Danio rerio: one gene and its partners. The protein of the gene in region 2 purifies or fractionates together with the protein of the main gene of each other region. This does not show direct contact. Links are inferred from orthologs where the notes say so. Each region holds a gene or a part of one and is shown on either strand. Other genes may lie near its edges. The genes, in order: ddx23, prpf4, mepceb and gphnb.

Evidence for each region.
Region 1: the proteins of prpf4 (region 2) and ddx23 purify together in Homo sapiens (affinity purification with mass spectrometry; 4 studies listed by BioGRID and IntAct, counting the BioPlex papers as one, with this or other methods). This does not show direct contact. The link is inferred for Danio rerio from reciprocal best matches to the Homo sapiens genes PRPF4 and DDX23.
Region 3: the proteins of prpf4 (region 2) and mepceb purify together in Homo sapiens (affinity purification with mass spectrometry; 4 studies listed by BioGRID and IntAct, with this or other methods). This does not show direct contact. The link is inferred for Danio rerio from reciprocal best matches to the Homo sapiens genes PRPF4 and MEPCE.
Region 4: the proteins of prpf4 (region 2) and gphnb purify together in Homo sapiens (affinity purification with mass spectrometry; 3 studies listed by BioGRID and IntAct, counting the BioPlex papers as one, with this or other methods). This does not show direct contact. The link is inferred for Danio rerio from reciprocal best matches to the Homo sapiens genes PRPF4 and GPHN.

The regions. Positions count from the first base shown.
Region 1 is NC_133198.1:15,736,451-15,739,740, forward strand, and holds part of ddx23 (probable ATP-dependent RNA helicase DDX23), read right to left. Parts: intron 2,273-3,290; coding exon 2,121-2,272; intron 2,007-2,120; coding exon 1,898-2,006; intron 1,200-1,897; coding exon 1,025-1,199; intron 1-1,024. UniProt on the Homo sapiens protein: Involved in pre-mRNA splicing and its phosphorylated form (by SRPK2) is required for spliceosomal B complex formation.
Region 2 is NC_133180.1:62,701,631-62,705,954, reverse strand, and holds the start of prpf4 (U4/U6 small nuclear ribonucleoprotein Prp4), read right to left. Parts: upstream 2,810-4,324; 5' UTR 2,714-2,809; intron 2,484-2,713; 5' UTR 2,458-2,483; coding exon 2,295-2,457; intron 909-2,294; coding exon 722-908; intron 1-721. UniProt on the Homo sapiens protein: Plays a role in pre-mRNA splicing as component of the U4/U6-U5 tri-snRNP complex that is involved in spliceosome assembly, and as component of the precatalytic spliceosome (spliceosome B complex).
Region 3 is NC_133198.1:47,985,363-47,989,604, forward strand, and holds the start of mepceb (7SK snRNA methylphosphate capping enzyme-like), read left to right. Parts: upstream 1-1,430; 5' UTR 1,431-1,920; intron 1,921-1,996; 5' UTR 1,997-2,006; coding exon 2,007-3,497; intron 3,498-4,242. UniProt on the Homo sapiens protein: S-adenosyl-L-methionine-dependent methyltransferase that adds a methylphosphate cap at the 5'-end of 7SK snRNA (7SK RNA), leading to stabilize it.
Region 4 is NC_133195.1:54,118,115-54,122,128, forward strand, and holds the start of gphnb (gephyrin b), read left to right. Parts: upstream 1-1,152; coding exon 1,153-1,216; intron 1,217-4,014. UniProt on the Homo sapiens protein: Microtubule-associated protein involved in membrane protein-cytoskeleton interactions. It is thought to anchor the inhibitory glycine receptor (GLYR) to subsynaptic microtubules.

The DNA of each region.
Region 1 (3,290 bases), on a different chromosome or scaffold from region 2:
CCGGTGCTGAGAGCCGCAAGCCCGTTGGAGCGAGCGTTTACAAACGCCGAGTCCCGTGGAAGAGCTCCAGATGCAAACTTTTCTTTTCTGTTTAATTTACAATTAAAGTTGTTGCACTTCTGTTGGTTCCTGCCTCTAAATGAGCAAGTTTTAACTACTTGTAGCGTTCAGAAAAAACAAAACACCTGTGAAGAAACTCGACACAGAGGAACATAAAAACCTACTGCCAGCTAGCGTTTCAGAAGTGTTGTTGCAAAGCAACACAAACAGCACGCAAAGGTATGAATGCATGACTACGCACAAGCCAGGTGCCATGAGTCCAGTTAGCATAGCTTTGTTTAGTTGCACCAGTTCTTTGCGTGCAACAGAAACGCGATGTTGTGAAGCTTTTACAATTAATTAACTGAGACGAATTAAAGCACTGTTAGTAGTGAAATCAGTTAATCGTTGCATCCCTAATCCTGAACCGTAGCTATTTGAACTGGAATATGGAAGTTAGTTAATTTTCAGGCAGTGCTTAATATCATTGCATCTGCTGCAAAGTTTCCTTAGTACTACATTAGAATGACAGTATAGTTTTCAACTTTTTTTTTTTAAACAAAGAAAAATTATATTTTCATAATTATCAAAATTTCATCATTAACCCCAGTTTAAAATATGGATGAAAAGTTCTGTTTAATGCTTAAAATAGAAAAAAGAGGATATTGCGCTTTATTTATTTCACATGCAAGACCATTGTCAATAACAGAATCCAATGAAGAGCAAAAAAATAAATAAACAAAAACTAAATTAATGAAATGGATAATATACTTGATGTGTCCAATAAAAACCAACAAGAGTCATACAAACGTTTCAGTCATGTAGGACCTTCCTCATTGTTCACATTCAATTGAAACAGTTAAAAAAAATATTGCAATAATTACCATTATCATAGCATCACCCAGTCCTACGGTCAAATTGATGAGAAAATATGACCACGAGTTCTGCTTTATGAAAAAAGTGGCAGAGATGATGTTAAACTCACCCTCGATGTTCTTGGCCATGTCGTAGTTTAAGACCATCGAGACGTCCTGAATGTCGATTCCTCTGCCTGCCACATCTGTGGCCACCAGGATGTCTTTGGCTCCGGCCTTCAGGTTGGAAAGAGCGAACTCTCTCTGTTCCTGACCTTTACCACCGTGAAGTGTGCAAGCATTGTACTGCAGAAGAGGGGAAAAAAGAAAGATTGAGTCACTGATTAATTACCAGCAGGTCAGTATGTCATAAAATCTCTTTTAAAAAAGTTGTATTTTATTTAGTAATGCTTCACGATCTACGTTGAGCTATAACAGGCAGATGTCCATTTTCTTCCTGAATTTGCAGCTCTCATAGATTTGCTTACCAAGTCTGTCTAAATATGGCTGTTTGCTATTATTATGTACATCTTTAATATCAAAATCAGATTGGTTGGCTTTTTAAACATTATGCGCCTAGGAAGATAGCATTTTTTGCCATCTTGACATAAAAAAAATGCTGCTATGGTGTCCCAAAAAACTGCCTAGGTAGCGGTAAGCTCTGTTTCCAGATCATGGGTCCCACCCCTTCATCACCAATAAGCATTTCGAAGCCACGGTTTACAGTAAGTTTATAACATCTAAGGAATGTTGTTGGGCATGTTGTGAAGCAGAGTGCCTAAAACTGCCAAGCTGTTACACATTCAATGTAAACCATGTCTTCATTTCACAATTATACATTCAAATTCAACATTCATTTCAACAATTACAGCTCTATGTGTGTAAAGTATGTTACAGCAACTTCAATTGCAGCTCCACCAATCAGAATCAAGAAGCAAAACAACAAATTTTAAGAATTTACTCCTGTAAAGCATTACAGACAGCACTTAACACAGTGTACTCACTCCCATCTTCTCCAGAGATTTAGCAAGCACATCGCAACCCTTCTTTTGGTTAACGAAGATGATGATGGGCGGCTCGAAGCCACTTGCCAAAACTTCCAGAAGCTTCTTCCTGTTCGCCACAAGAAAACATTTGTCAATTAAAAACTGAAGAACATTTTTTGGACAAAGTGCGCTTGAATAAAAACTACTCATTTCGACAAATGATGGGTTAACGTGTTCTGACCTCTTTTCACCCTCGGACATGAGGATGACCTTCTGCTCCACCCTCTCGTGGGGTTTGCCTGCAGAGCCGATGTACACCACCGCCGGCCGACGGAGGTAACTTCTGGCCAGACGCTCCACTGCAGGAGGCATAGTAGCCGTAAACATGACCGTCTGAAACACAAGAGATATAATATGATACAATCTCATGCAATACAAAGACATTTAGGAAAATGAAACATAAAAGAAAGCAACAGAAAGGACGCTTGCGAATTTATTACACTTAGTAGACAATTTATTTTAATCAAAATTTCTAATTAGCCAATCAAATAGCAGCAACTCAATGCATTTAGCCATGTAGACGTGGTCAAGATGATCTGCTCAAGCATCGGAACTTGGAATAAATAGGAGTTGAGTGACTTTGAACTAGGGAATTTTTACAATTTCTGCAATAAACATTGATATTTTATTACGGTTTCTCAAGATAGTTTAATAGCTCTATTTGATGGACCTCAGGGGAGTCGTTACAGTATTTAGGTAGAGAAATTAAATAAACACAATGCAAAAAAAGCTTTTCTTACTTTGCTTTGTCTCGTTTTCAGTCCAAATATCTAAAGAATTATTTACATATTTAAAATAGTAAAAGTATTTTTTTGTTTTCAACTTCGGGAGAAAGAAGTTTACATTAAATTACACTGACTTTTTCCCTAAATAAGTAAAATTATTCTGTTTTTGATGACAAAAAGATTATCATAAATCATAAAAACTCTATATAAATACAGTAATTATGTAAGGTCTATCCTGTCTTATATCAACGGTTCAGGTTGCTGGTGGTGGTGTAATAGTGTGGGGGATATTTTCTTGGCACAGTTTTGGCCCATTAGTACCAATTGAGTATAGTGTAAACGCCTCCGCCTACCTCAGAATATTGTTGCTGACCATGCCCATCCCTTTAAGAACATAGTGTCTAGCTAATTTCTTGGCACACTTTGGGCACATTAGTACATATTGAGTATCGTGTCAATGTCACAGCACGAGTATTGTTGCTAACCATATCCATCCCTTTATGATCACAGTGTACCAATCTTCTGATGGCTAGTTCCAGCAAGATATCACACCATGTCATAAAGCGCAAATCATCTCAAACTGGCTTCTTGAACATGAAAATGAGTTTAGTGTACTCAAATGGCCT
Region 2 (4,324 bases):
AAGCCCAGTATTTCAAGTTCAGATCGCATTAATGTAATACGAGCATGCAAATCTCTTTGCTTGGTCGCAGATATGCTGTTTGTGCACAAAAACTTCTTGCACACCCTCAAATATATGCTGCTCAAGCACAGATTTTCTTGTGCACTCTCAAATAAACCCTGTTGAAGTGCGATTTAGTGCGTTTATGTAACAAGTATCTCCAACATTTACTAGATCTGCTAGGAATATTTATGAAAGTCTCCAACAGACCTACAGAGCAGCATTAATGCGTCCTAAAGTAAGGTGAAACAGCCATAAACTTCAGCAAGATAAAGTCATTGTATGCAGAACCACAGACCTTTTTCTAGAAGTATAATTATGGAAACTGTGCTCCTTATAACTGAAAATGAAAGCTACATCATGTTTGCTAACCTCACGCAGCCCTGCCAGTCAGCCAGCATGTAAGCTAACCTTAAAGGTTTAAACAAATAACGCACAGCACTACTACAACTACAGAAAAGTTTGCTCTGTTATAATTCACTTACATTGTAATTAGTTTTGGTGCGATGACTGCTTTTTCCCTAACATTCTTAAGACAATCTTGTTTTATGTTCAGCAGAAAAATGAAATAAAAAAGGAAATAGTGAAAAAAAAATTACTTTTGCACTTATTGTGCAACTACCCCTTTAAATTAGCAGTTTTTAAATCCAGAACAAAATGCAATGCTTTTACAGCCACTGACCTCTCTCGTCTCTCTGCAGGCCCCTCCCCGAACAATGTGATTGGTTCTCCAAGTGCACGAAGGCAGGCCTTCACCTCTACATCATCAGTAGAGACGGTGATCTGTCTGGCTCTCTTCCTGCGCTCAAACTCTGCCAGCACTTCAGCCTGTCTCTCGCTCACACGCTCCTCCATCTCCATGGACTCACCTGACGATAGAAACATCACATGATTAGAAAGCAAAGTAAAAGTTGTGAATTTTAAATGAAAATGACATTTTGATAACAGACCACATTGTTAAAACTGCATTTGAGATGATGTGCAATTAAACTACTCATCTAGTTAGTTCAGTTAACCATTTTTTGTGCGCCCATTATTTCACTATTTGTTTTCATGTTTTATTACTACATAAAAACAAAACGATTTCCACAAAACATTTTTTAAATGTTTTTTATTGTCTTTGTGTATACATTAAGTGTTTTATGCACTATCCCTAAATACATACAAAAATAATAGAGGATGAAAATTGCTATGACTGATGTGATTAAGTTTTTGTATATAAATCTATCTATCTATCTATCTATCTATCTACATACATACATACATACATACATACATACATACATATACATATATATATATATATATAGCTAAATAACAAACAATAATTCTTTTTGATAATTACATTTTTTTTTTATATTTCACAAGTGGCGCTAAAGAAAGAAAAGATTTATTTCTATTTTTTATCAAGGGAATGCTAATAATAATGACCTTAAAAATTGTTGCACTATTTATTAAAACGTTTCATTTTATTCAAAAACAATTTAAAACTATATTATAGGAAATACTGTAAAATTACCTGGGGAAATTTTGAAAAAGCATAATTTATCTGGAGGGTCATTAATTTAGAAACTGTATGTAAGATGGTATAATTACAATATCATACTCAACGGAGGGAAAAATATTTTGAGGACCAAAATGAGCAAAAATATTCAGTTTAGTACTGATGATGTTATTTATATGGCCAAAGAGTAAGATGTTTTGAAACTCTGCTGAATCTATTACATATTTATAATACAGCAGACTACTTCCATAAGAAGCACAGATATCAGCTGTCACACTATCTCCAAATGACTGAAAGTGATATTTAAATGCTTAGTTTTATAAGCCAAGATCTGTAGTTTTTCTTAAAGAGGCAAACTTTAAGCTGCAATGAGGTGTAGTACAAATAACCCTCACAAACATCTTATTATGCATCACATTTAAAACTCATGTTTCGAGAAATGTAACTTATTTAAAATTACGTGATAATAAATATATTGAAAAGTCCAGTAACTGTTTATCTTTAAATTGAACAATATAGAGATTATTCTGGAGTTTACTTTATAACAATCAATAAAGAGTTGAATGCAAAGAAATGCAGATTTATGCGGATAATAAATATATGAAAAAGTCCAGTTCATCTTTAAATTAAACAATGCACAGGTCAGTCTGGTGTTTCCTTAATAACAATCAATAAAAAATACAGCAAAAAGATCCAAATGTCCCGAAGATGCGCTAATTGAAACATCCGAGCTTAAAAATATCAAGTTTACCACTGGAGATATTAATATGTCCAGCCTCAATGCCAGCTTTAACGGCATCTTTGGCAGTGGTGGATGTCCCTTCACGGCTGAGACGCTCCTTCTCCTTTTCCTCAAGGCTTCCATAGAAGATCCTGGACCTTTTCACAACTGGAGCTTCATCTTCATCTGACATCTTTCCTGATATTTGTCCAACAACACCTAATCCAAAAAAAAAGGCATTAACATCAGAGACCAATAGTGTAAGTGACATCTAATGTAAATATCTATGTAAGTTATGAAAGCCCCAGCATGCATGTTACATCCGCAAAGTTACTTCACTGTACCACAGTATTATTATTTTGCAGGGTGTTCAAAAAAATAAGACTAATTTTACCGAAACCAAGACAAACTCATAAAAGATAAACATTAACTCTTCACTAATCCCTTACCCTTTACCAAACAAACGAAGCTTCCTTTAAAAGCAGCTTGTTTTGTAAGATAGTGCTGTGATAAAATCCACAAACACGACCACACGACGCGGGCTACTCGGCGCACAGTATGTCGTCATATCCGCCTTCTTGACTTTTACCGTCATGGAAATAAATAGTGACTTCTAGCGGTCGGAATTATGTCACAGAGTTGTTGCTTTTTGCATTATAACCCTGATTATAACACAATTTCAATAAGGCAAAAATCGAATAACAACTATCATCTACATATTTAGAACAGAGATCAAATAAAAAATCTATAAAATATAAATACAAATGATACTCTTAAACCATAGAACAATCACAACTAAAAGAAAGAAAGAAGAAAAAAACATGTACACCGTGTCTTGTATTATTTAGATTTTTTTCCAATAAACTAAACAATCTTCTTCCACATTTTGATTTTATCAACTTTAAAGATTTACAGTATAGCCAAATATCATTTTGGAAAACTAAAAATAGTGTTTATTTTTAAGGCACTTGCATTTATGAATATAACATTTCCCCCAAATTAGAATTGTTCAATACAAATTGAAAATCAACATCTTTCCCTAATAAACCAAGAAAAATATAATTTTTAGAAAAGGAATTATATCAGAAAGTGAGTGGCTACATCTAAAGTTACCTCGGACCAGACGGAAACTGCAGACGTTTTTTTCCTATTTCTGCGGAGAATTTTTTAAAAATCTGCGGATTTATGCAGAATGTTTTTGTGAGCATCATAACTAAAGATTTATTATATATAATAAAAAGTAATATATTTTAACTTGTATTTAATGTTTACAATGCACATTCATTTAGATACACTTTGTTTTGTAAAGAAAGCAAGTCTTGTATATAATAAATCTACTAAAAGACAGAAAATATTACTTTACAAACTATATTGTAAATAAATAATATAAATATGTTTTATATTAGTCAATAATATTACTGAAATTAACTTAGAAACAGATTAAATATAAATTTATGATGGGCAAAAATATCTGTGGAAATTCTGTGTGCACAGATTTCGTATGGGCCTAGTTATACCCAATTTCTGTAGTGCATTATTAATCAGTGTTTTTGAGTCCAAAGTCTCAAAATATTCGAATGCAAGTCCTAAAAGCTCCGTGTACGTTTTCGTTTACGTTGCTCACGAGAAAACGAAAAAACGAGATTTTGGCTGGATTTTCGTTTTTTGGTTTAGGGTAGGAAAACGGATAAACGACTTTAAAATTCATTTTACACATGTAGGCGGTGCTGAAACGCCCACTTTCCTCTAATTGGTCAACCAAATCTGCGCTCGTGACGTCACCTTCAAAATAAAAGCCTTACACGCAGGCTTTTAATTGTTATTATTTAATTATATATTAACTAAGTTTACATATTCTATCATTTGAACCACACACAGTTAGCAGGCTTACATTCATTGCGTATGTATAAATTAAATAAAAACATAAAGCAGTATTCTTAGACATTTGTCATTAAAATAAGGTCATAGTTCACTGCTAAGCTTCTTGCTGCTGTGCACCTGATGCAGAGCAAAGAAAGCCATTTCCGAGGAGCACCTGGTTTTCAGAGCAAGGGCTTTAT
Region 3 (4,242 bases), on a different chromosome or scaffold from region 2:
CTTCTGCTGCTGTAGCCCATCCGCCTCAAGGTTGGTCGTGTTGTGTGTTCAGAGATGCTCTTCTGCAGAGCTCGGTTGTAACGAGTGCTTATTTGAGTTACTGTTGCCTTTCTATCAGCTGGAACCAGTCTGGCCATTCTCCTCTGGCATCAACAAGGCATTGTTGGCACATGCTGCCTTGTGATTGGCTGATTAGAAATTTGCGTTAACGAGCAGTTGGACAGGTGTACCTAATAAAGTGGCCGGTGAGTGTATATGTAGGGGAGAAGTCAAAAATACATTGAATTAGTCAAAATTATTTTTTATTCTATGCCAAAAATCATTAGTATAAGTGATCATCATCATACATCGAGACGTTTTATACATGTCTATATTGTAAATATATCAAAACTCATTTTTTGAATAGTAAAATACATTGCTAAGACCCTAATTTGGACAACTTTAAAGGTGATTTTCTCAGTGTATAATACCATTATCTACCTTCAAATTTCAGAATAGTCATTTTAATTTATTCATATGTTATCAAAAATAGTTCATTTTGGCATTAAAAAAGACATACCTAGGGGAATGCTTATTTATTCAGCTTATTTTTCTAAAACTCAACACTTATGACTTGTTTTGTGTTCCAGGGTCACATATATGACACTCTTATTGTAATATATTTCTATACCTTTAGTTAGCTATCTCTTCTTCTCTCTTGTCTGTAAATAAGCTAAATGTGTGTAATTTAGGCCATTTACACCAGTCCTGCCAAACAAAAATAATGATTTAATAATGCATACACTGAATCCACTGACTCAAGTGGGTTTTCTTTCACAATAATCAAAATAATGAATCATATTATGCTGTTATTTTCTTGTTTTTGGCAACAGGTTCAGATCAAAAGGACTACATCTCCCAGAAGTCTCCTCCTCCTGCAGCAGAGTGGGAGGGTCTCTTTAAAACTCGCAGAGGCGCTAATTCCATACGATATAAAATGCTAATATGACATAAGTCATGTTTTATTAGTTATCCGATCATTAGTCGTTGTTATAAGCGTAAATTCAGCGCGGAAGAACTCTCACAGGGGTTGTTTACACATGTGACGACTGCCTGTTTCGAGTTCCCGAACGTTCTCCAAAGCAGAATTATGGGATTCTGCTCAAACACATACTCTTGTTAAATAAACAAATGCATTTTGTCGTCAATTTGTTATATTTTACTGATTTTGACGATAATATTTAGTGTCTAACGGGTCAATTCAGGCAGTCCGCTGGATACCTATTAAAAGAGGAGGGGCGGTGACTGCGAGCACATGCCTTCATTTAAAGCTCCGCCATTGGTTGTTCGAGGGGCCTTAACGTATATCGCGCTTTCTGATTGGCAGACGCGACTGTCCGTCAGGCTTGGTCTGTGGTGGAATATATAAGCGCGCTGGTCTGCTGTGCCACAGGGCGAGATGGAGCACTGCGAGTTCAAGCGCTCATGAACATTCGACAGATCAAAGTCTATTTTTAATCAGCACCATTTTAGCAAAGTGTTTTTCATATCTGCAGTAGCGCGAGTCAAGTGCAGCTGTGTGTTTACGTAGCTCTAATGAGCGCGGGTCTGTGTACATAGTGTGTCGTGTGCGCTGTTTTTGTTTGATTTTTGGCGTTCGTGTTTACTCTCAGCGCGAGAGAGCCGGAGAAAATATCTCGCTCAGTACTGTGTGTGTGTGTCTGTGTTAACGGACGTGTGCGTTTGTGTCGGAAAGGGGGGGAGCTTTCGAGAGTCGCGTTTCCGTTGCATTATTCATGAGCGTCGCGGTAGCCCCGCCCATAGGCGGAGTTAGTTAAATTAACGCGCCGTGGAGCTGTTAGATGAGCCAAATGTAACACGTGGGTCACAAGCACATCAGTGCCCATAAAACAATACAGAAAGCAGGCTCAGAGTAGTCAAGTAAGTACTCATCTGCAAGCGTCACACATTTATATCTTGTATATTGTACTTGAATGGTGTGTTTCTGTGTTTCCAGCGGCTGATGGATGTCTACTGTGATGTCAGTGCAAAGTGAGCTTCCTATTGCTGGTGGGGCAGCAGGTTTACTGGCCCACCCGCCGTCCCCACTGCAGACCATTAAAGATGAGGTGACCGCTAACATTGTGCTAACCGAACTCGCAGCCAATCACGTGACCCCACAGGATGGGGTTACCGCCGAGGGGCCCTTTCAGATTAAAAATGGCCTACAAACTCGAACTGAAGTGCAGACGCAGAAACTGGCGCAGAAGCGGCGCTACAGTATGAACGTGGCGTTCAAACATCCGAGTCTCGGTAAGCGAAGACGCCGCGCCAATTCTGAATGCGATCCTGTGCTTCCTACTAACTTCCTGCTGGGCGGGAATATATTTGATCCGTTAAACCTCAACAGCCTATTGGACGAGGAGGTCAGTAAAGCGCTTAATGCCGAAACGCCCAAATCATCGCCACTCCCCTCTAAAAACCGAGACCCGGTGGAGATTCTCATCCCGAAAGATATTACAGACCCGCTGAATTTAAGCGGCAGGGGCGGAGATTCGGCTGCCGGTGTGTTGGTTTCTCCAATGAAGATCAGACGCAGACACCGCAACCGCCATCATCCTGGAGCGACCACAGGCGTTGCCGACCAATCAGATTGTGAGAAGTCAAAAACCAATGAAACGACATTATTTCCTGTAGCTAATCCTGAAGAGGCTGCGAACAGTGCCGTTCTTCCGCCTGTCGAGGAGTCGCCGCGTCCGTATGAGCTCAACACCTCGATTAATTGCCGCGATGAAGTGGTGCAACCTATTCTGCCACGGCGTAAGTCACACCCCTCTGCGTCTAGCTCCGCCCCTCAATTACTCTCTAGGTCCGCCTCTGCGCCCCATCCGTCCAAACATCGGAAGCGCAGACGAACTGTCAGTCGCTCGGACTCTCGCCTGTCAATCACACCAACTCCGCCCACCAAGCGGCTAATCACACACACTCAAACCTTTCACACTCCAGTTATAGGCGGAGCCAGCGGAGCTCCTCCCTTGGGGGCGGAGCGAAGCCATGAACAGCAGCGCAGGCCGCGGCGCAAATACCATAATGGAGCCTACAGCCGTTACTATGGCTACCGCACACCATCGATGACCGACGACCCACGATTGGCTCTTTTTAATCCCGAATGGTTCTCTGGAAAAAAAGTTCTAGATGTGGGCTGTAACACGGGTCATGTGACCCTTGCCATCGCCAAACACTGCAGCCCCGCCCACATCCTGGGCTTGGACATTGATGGCGCGCTGGTGCAAGCCGCCCGCCAGAACCTGCGCCATTTCCTGTCGGAGCTGCAGGACAGGCAGCAGGCGGGAGCAGGTGAGGGGTCAGAGGTCACGGGGCTGGTGCCGCTGATGGACCTGCAGCTGGTGTTACCCAGGTTTCCTGTCTCCTTCATGCGCTGCCGCGGACCCATCGCCGCTCCTCCCATAATGCATCAGTCTCCAGGCCAGTTCCCCAGCAACGTCTGCTTCCTGAAGGTACACTAACATAGCTGAAGCAGCAGATCTTCCTGACGTGTGTGTGTGTGTGTGTGTGTGTGTGTGTGTGTGTGTGTGTGTGTGTGTGTGTGTGTGTGTGTGTGTGTGTGTGTTATTGGATGTATAATTAATGTTTGGATTTTGCACACACAAACATCTGTCTGTATTTCTATATATGGAATCTATCTATCTATCTATCTATCTATCTATCTATCTATCTATCTATCTATCTATTCATCCATTCATCTATCTATCTATCTATCTATCTATCTATCTATCTATCTATCTATCTATCTATCTATCTATTCATCCATTCATCTATTTATCTATCTATTCATCCATTCATCTATTTATCTATCTATCCATCCATCCATTCATCTATCTATCTATCTATCTATTCATCTATCTATCTATTCATCCATTTATCTATCTATCTATCTATCTATCTATCTATCTATCTATCTATCTATCTATCTATCTATCTATCTATCTATCTATTCATCCATTCATCTATTTATCTATCTATCCATCCATCCATTCATCTATCTATCTATTCATCTATCTATCTATTCATCCATTCATCTATCTATCTATTCATCTATCTATCTATTCATCCATTCATCTATCTATCTATCTATCTATCTATCTATCTATCTAACTCTATTCATCTATCTATCTATCTATCTATCTATCTATCTATCTATCTATTCATCCATTCATCTATCTATCTATCTATCTATCTATC
Region 4 (4,014 bases), on a different chromosome or scaffold from region 2:
CACGTCGGCCACAACAGAACATTAAAAAAACTGCAATTGCGTCATTTGCGTTATTTTTTTAACGCATTAAATATTTCAAATTAATCACATGTGTTAACGCGCTAATTTTGACAGCTCTAATATATATATATATATATATATATATATATATATATATATATATATATATATTCATTCATTTTCTTGTCTTGTTTTTTTATTCTGAAGTCGCCACAGCGGAATGAACCGCCAACTTATCCATCATGTTTTTACAGAGCGCTTCCAGCCGCAACCCATCACTGGGAAACATCAATACACACTCATTCAATCACACACTCCTACACTACAGTCAATTTTATCCTATCCAATTCTTTGGACTGTGGGCAAAACCGGAGCACCCAGAGGAAACCCACATGAACGCGGGGAGAACATGCAAACTCCACACAGAAATGGCAACTGACCCAGCCGAGGCTTGAACCAGCGACCTTCTTACTGTGAGGCGAACGTGCTACCCACTGCACCCCTCATGTCGCCCCATATATATATATATATATATATATATATGTGTGTGTGTGTGTTTTAAACACCAGATGCCCTTCCAGCCACAACCCAGTACTGGGAAACACTCATACACACTTATTCACACACACTCATACACTACAGCCTAATTAGTTTACCCAATACCCCTATAGCGCATGTGTTTGGACTGTGGGGGGAAACCGGAGCACCCGGAGGAAATCCACACCAACACAGGGAGAACATGCAAACTCCACAGAAATGACAACTGGCTCAGCCTGGGCTCGAACCAGTGACCTTCTTGCTGTGAGGTGAATGTGCTACCCACTGCGCCACAGTGTCGCTTTTATCAGTGTTTTATTTGTGTTGTGTTGTTTTATTTGTAGTTGGGTTTTATTTATTTTTTATTTAATTATATTTGTGTTTTATTTTAATTTGTGTTTTTTTTTTGTATTTATGTTGTATTTTATTTTTGTTTTATTATTATTATTATTATTTAGTATTTTATTTTTAAGTTTTGTCTATTTCCCCAGTGAGCGCTGAATCTGGGTTCTGCTGCTCTGGCCTGCGCGCTTCCCTCTCTCCCCCTCCAGAGTTCGATGCGCTCGGCTCTCGGCTCTGCCTGGAGTTCTCAGTGCGGCGACAGCGGTGCTGAATATGGCGTCAGACGGGATGATTTTAACAAACCACGACCACCAAATCCGGGTCGGCGTCCTGACAGGTAAAGGCCAAAACCCTTCAAATCATCGTGCGGTTTCTTTCGGGGAAAAGCACTTGCGGTTTTCCAGCTGTTTGCCAGCGGAGCCTCTCCTCCCCAAGCGTGTGTGTGCGTGCATGTGTGTGTGTGTGGCATGTGTGTGTGTGTTTGTGTGTTACTCTGCTGGTCAGCGGTGATTTAAAGCCCTTTTCTCTTCCAGAGATTCATTTACCGGCCAAACGACTAAACAATCCCTCTTCTAGCTTATATGCATGCGTGACAGTGTTTTGAAATCTCACGAGAGGATGGAGTTTTATCTGCTCAATTCTTCATTTTCTCCTTTAAATGAGCGCATTCTCCACATTTGCTTCAGTGAATGCTGTATTATTTGTGAAGTACCTGCAGTCATCTGGTGTGATCGGTGCTGAAGATGTGATTTACTGTCAGAGACGGTGGATGCAGTGGGCTGATATTAGTGAGGACGGCTGTGAATCGTGGGCTGAATGCTGGTTTCCTCTCTGCATGACAGCCTTGTTAATGCAAACATGCCTTCGCCGGTGATTTCCATCCGTGCTTCATGTTTTGCCAGTGGTGACGAGTGAAACGCTCGAGCGAAGGCTGTGCAGTTTGCGATTTAATTTCATTGCTGTGTAATAATAATTAAATAAATCAATCAATCAAATGCATGCACTGAACGATAGCATTTAAGGCTTGAAATCTCTTGCATTAGCAGGATAATGCAGCTTTGGGAAAAGAGGAAAAAAACGCGGAGGCCGCGGATTTTCGTGCGATGTGATTGGTGATAACCCTCTGATGGAAATCCGCTAGTGAAGGTGGTAATGTGCAGAGAAGGAGAGGCAGAGGAGCTCCATCCAGCTCTTAGGGAAACCCCGCTTCACCTCCCCCCTCCTCACTGCTGTAGAGCGGGGAAACCAGCAGCAAAAGCGGCGGTGCCTCGGAAATGCAGCGGCCGCTTGATAAGCGCTGTCCATGGTGCTGAAATACGCCGGTCACTGCTTGTGCGCTGTCCGCGGTGCTGAAGTACATTTGCAGCTGGATTGTGCGCGGATTTAACATTCTTCGGCCGCTGGATTTGCACTTTCCGCGGTGCATAAATACCGCGGTGCTGAATTTCAGCTAGCGCTGTACATATACTGCTGAAATGCACCCGACGGTCACTCGAGTATTTCCTTACATGTTCTCCTCTGTCATTTAGCCGATGCTTTTAGCTAGCTAAAGGGAGGACGTGTCCCTGCAGTGTTCAGATTAGTGGTCAAGGATATGGGTTTGATGCATGACTACAGTCCAGTACAATAGGACCCCAAATGTAATTACAGCCTTGCTTTTATCAATGCATTCATTACAGGAAAAGTCCCATGGGAGAAACCTGAGCATATTTGTTCTGCATCAAATCTCAGTGTGCTTGAACATACAATAGCCGGATATTTAACTACTAAAGGGAATTCACAGGGTTTATATCTTTTCCAAAGTTTGAACACAACCATTTTGTTACCAGGACATAGTTAATTAATTTTCAATGAAAACACGGCTGCTGGCGTATTGACCTGCATTGTTCTGAACACATTTATCACAGCGTTTATCACAGTTATTCAAAAGCTACAGTGTAATGTGAGATTAACAGCGGTGCTGAAATACAGCGGCCGCACGATGAGTGCTTTTGCAGTGCTGAAATGCAGCAGTTCTCACAGAGTGCTCTCCGTGGTGCTGACGTTTGGCTAACTCTTTACATATAGTGTGAAATACAGGTGTCGGTCACTCGAGTATTTCCTTACATGTTCTTCTCTGTCATTTAGCCGATGCTTTTAGCTAGCTAGAGGGAGCACGTGTCCCTGCAGTGTTCAGATTAGTGGTCAAGGATATGGGTTTGATGCATATGCACAGTCCAGTACAATAGGACCCCAAATGTAATTACAGCCTTGCTTTTATCAGTGCATTTATAACAGGGTAAGTCCCATGGGAGAAACCTGAACACATTTGTTCTGCATCAAATGCATCAAACCTCAGTGTGCTTGATCCTACAACAGCCTGATATTTAACTACTAGAGGAAATGTATAGGTGGTATAGTTTGGACACATAACCATTTTGTTACCAGGGCATAGTTAATTGATTGTCAAAGCAAACAAGGGTGCTAGTGTATTGACCTGCATTGTTTTGAACTCATTTCATTCACAGAATGCTTTTATTGCAGTATTTATTACAGTTTTACAAACACTACTGTCAAATTTAAGGGTTAACCACAGTGCTGAAATACAGCGGCCGCACAATGTACGCTGTCCATGGTGCTAAATTTGGGTTAACACTATACATATAGTGCTGATGGGCCAGAGTCACTTGGGTATTTCCTTACATCAGGGGTCACCAATCTCATTCCTGGAGGGCCGGTGTCCCTGCAGGGTTTAGCTTCAACTTCCCTCAACCACCTGCCTGGGTGTTTCAAGTATACCTAGTAAGACCTTGATTAGCTTGTTCAGGTGTGTTTGATTAGGGTTGGAGCTAAAATCTGCAGGACACCGGCCCTCCAGGAACAAGTTTGGTGATCCCTGCCTTACATGTTCTCCTCTGTCATTTAGCCTATGCTTTTAGCTCGCTAGAGGGAGGACGTGTCCCTGCAGTGTTCAGATTAGTTGTCAAGGATATGGGTTTGATGCATATGTACAGTACAGTACAATAGGACCCTAAATGAGATTACAGCCTTGCTTTTATCAGTGCATTTATTACAGGGAAAGTCCAATGGGAGAAGCCTGAGCATATTTGTTCTGCATCAAATCTCAGTGTGCTTGAACATACAGTAGCCAGATAT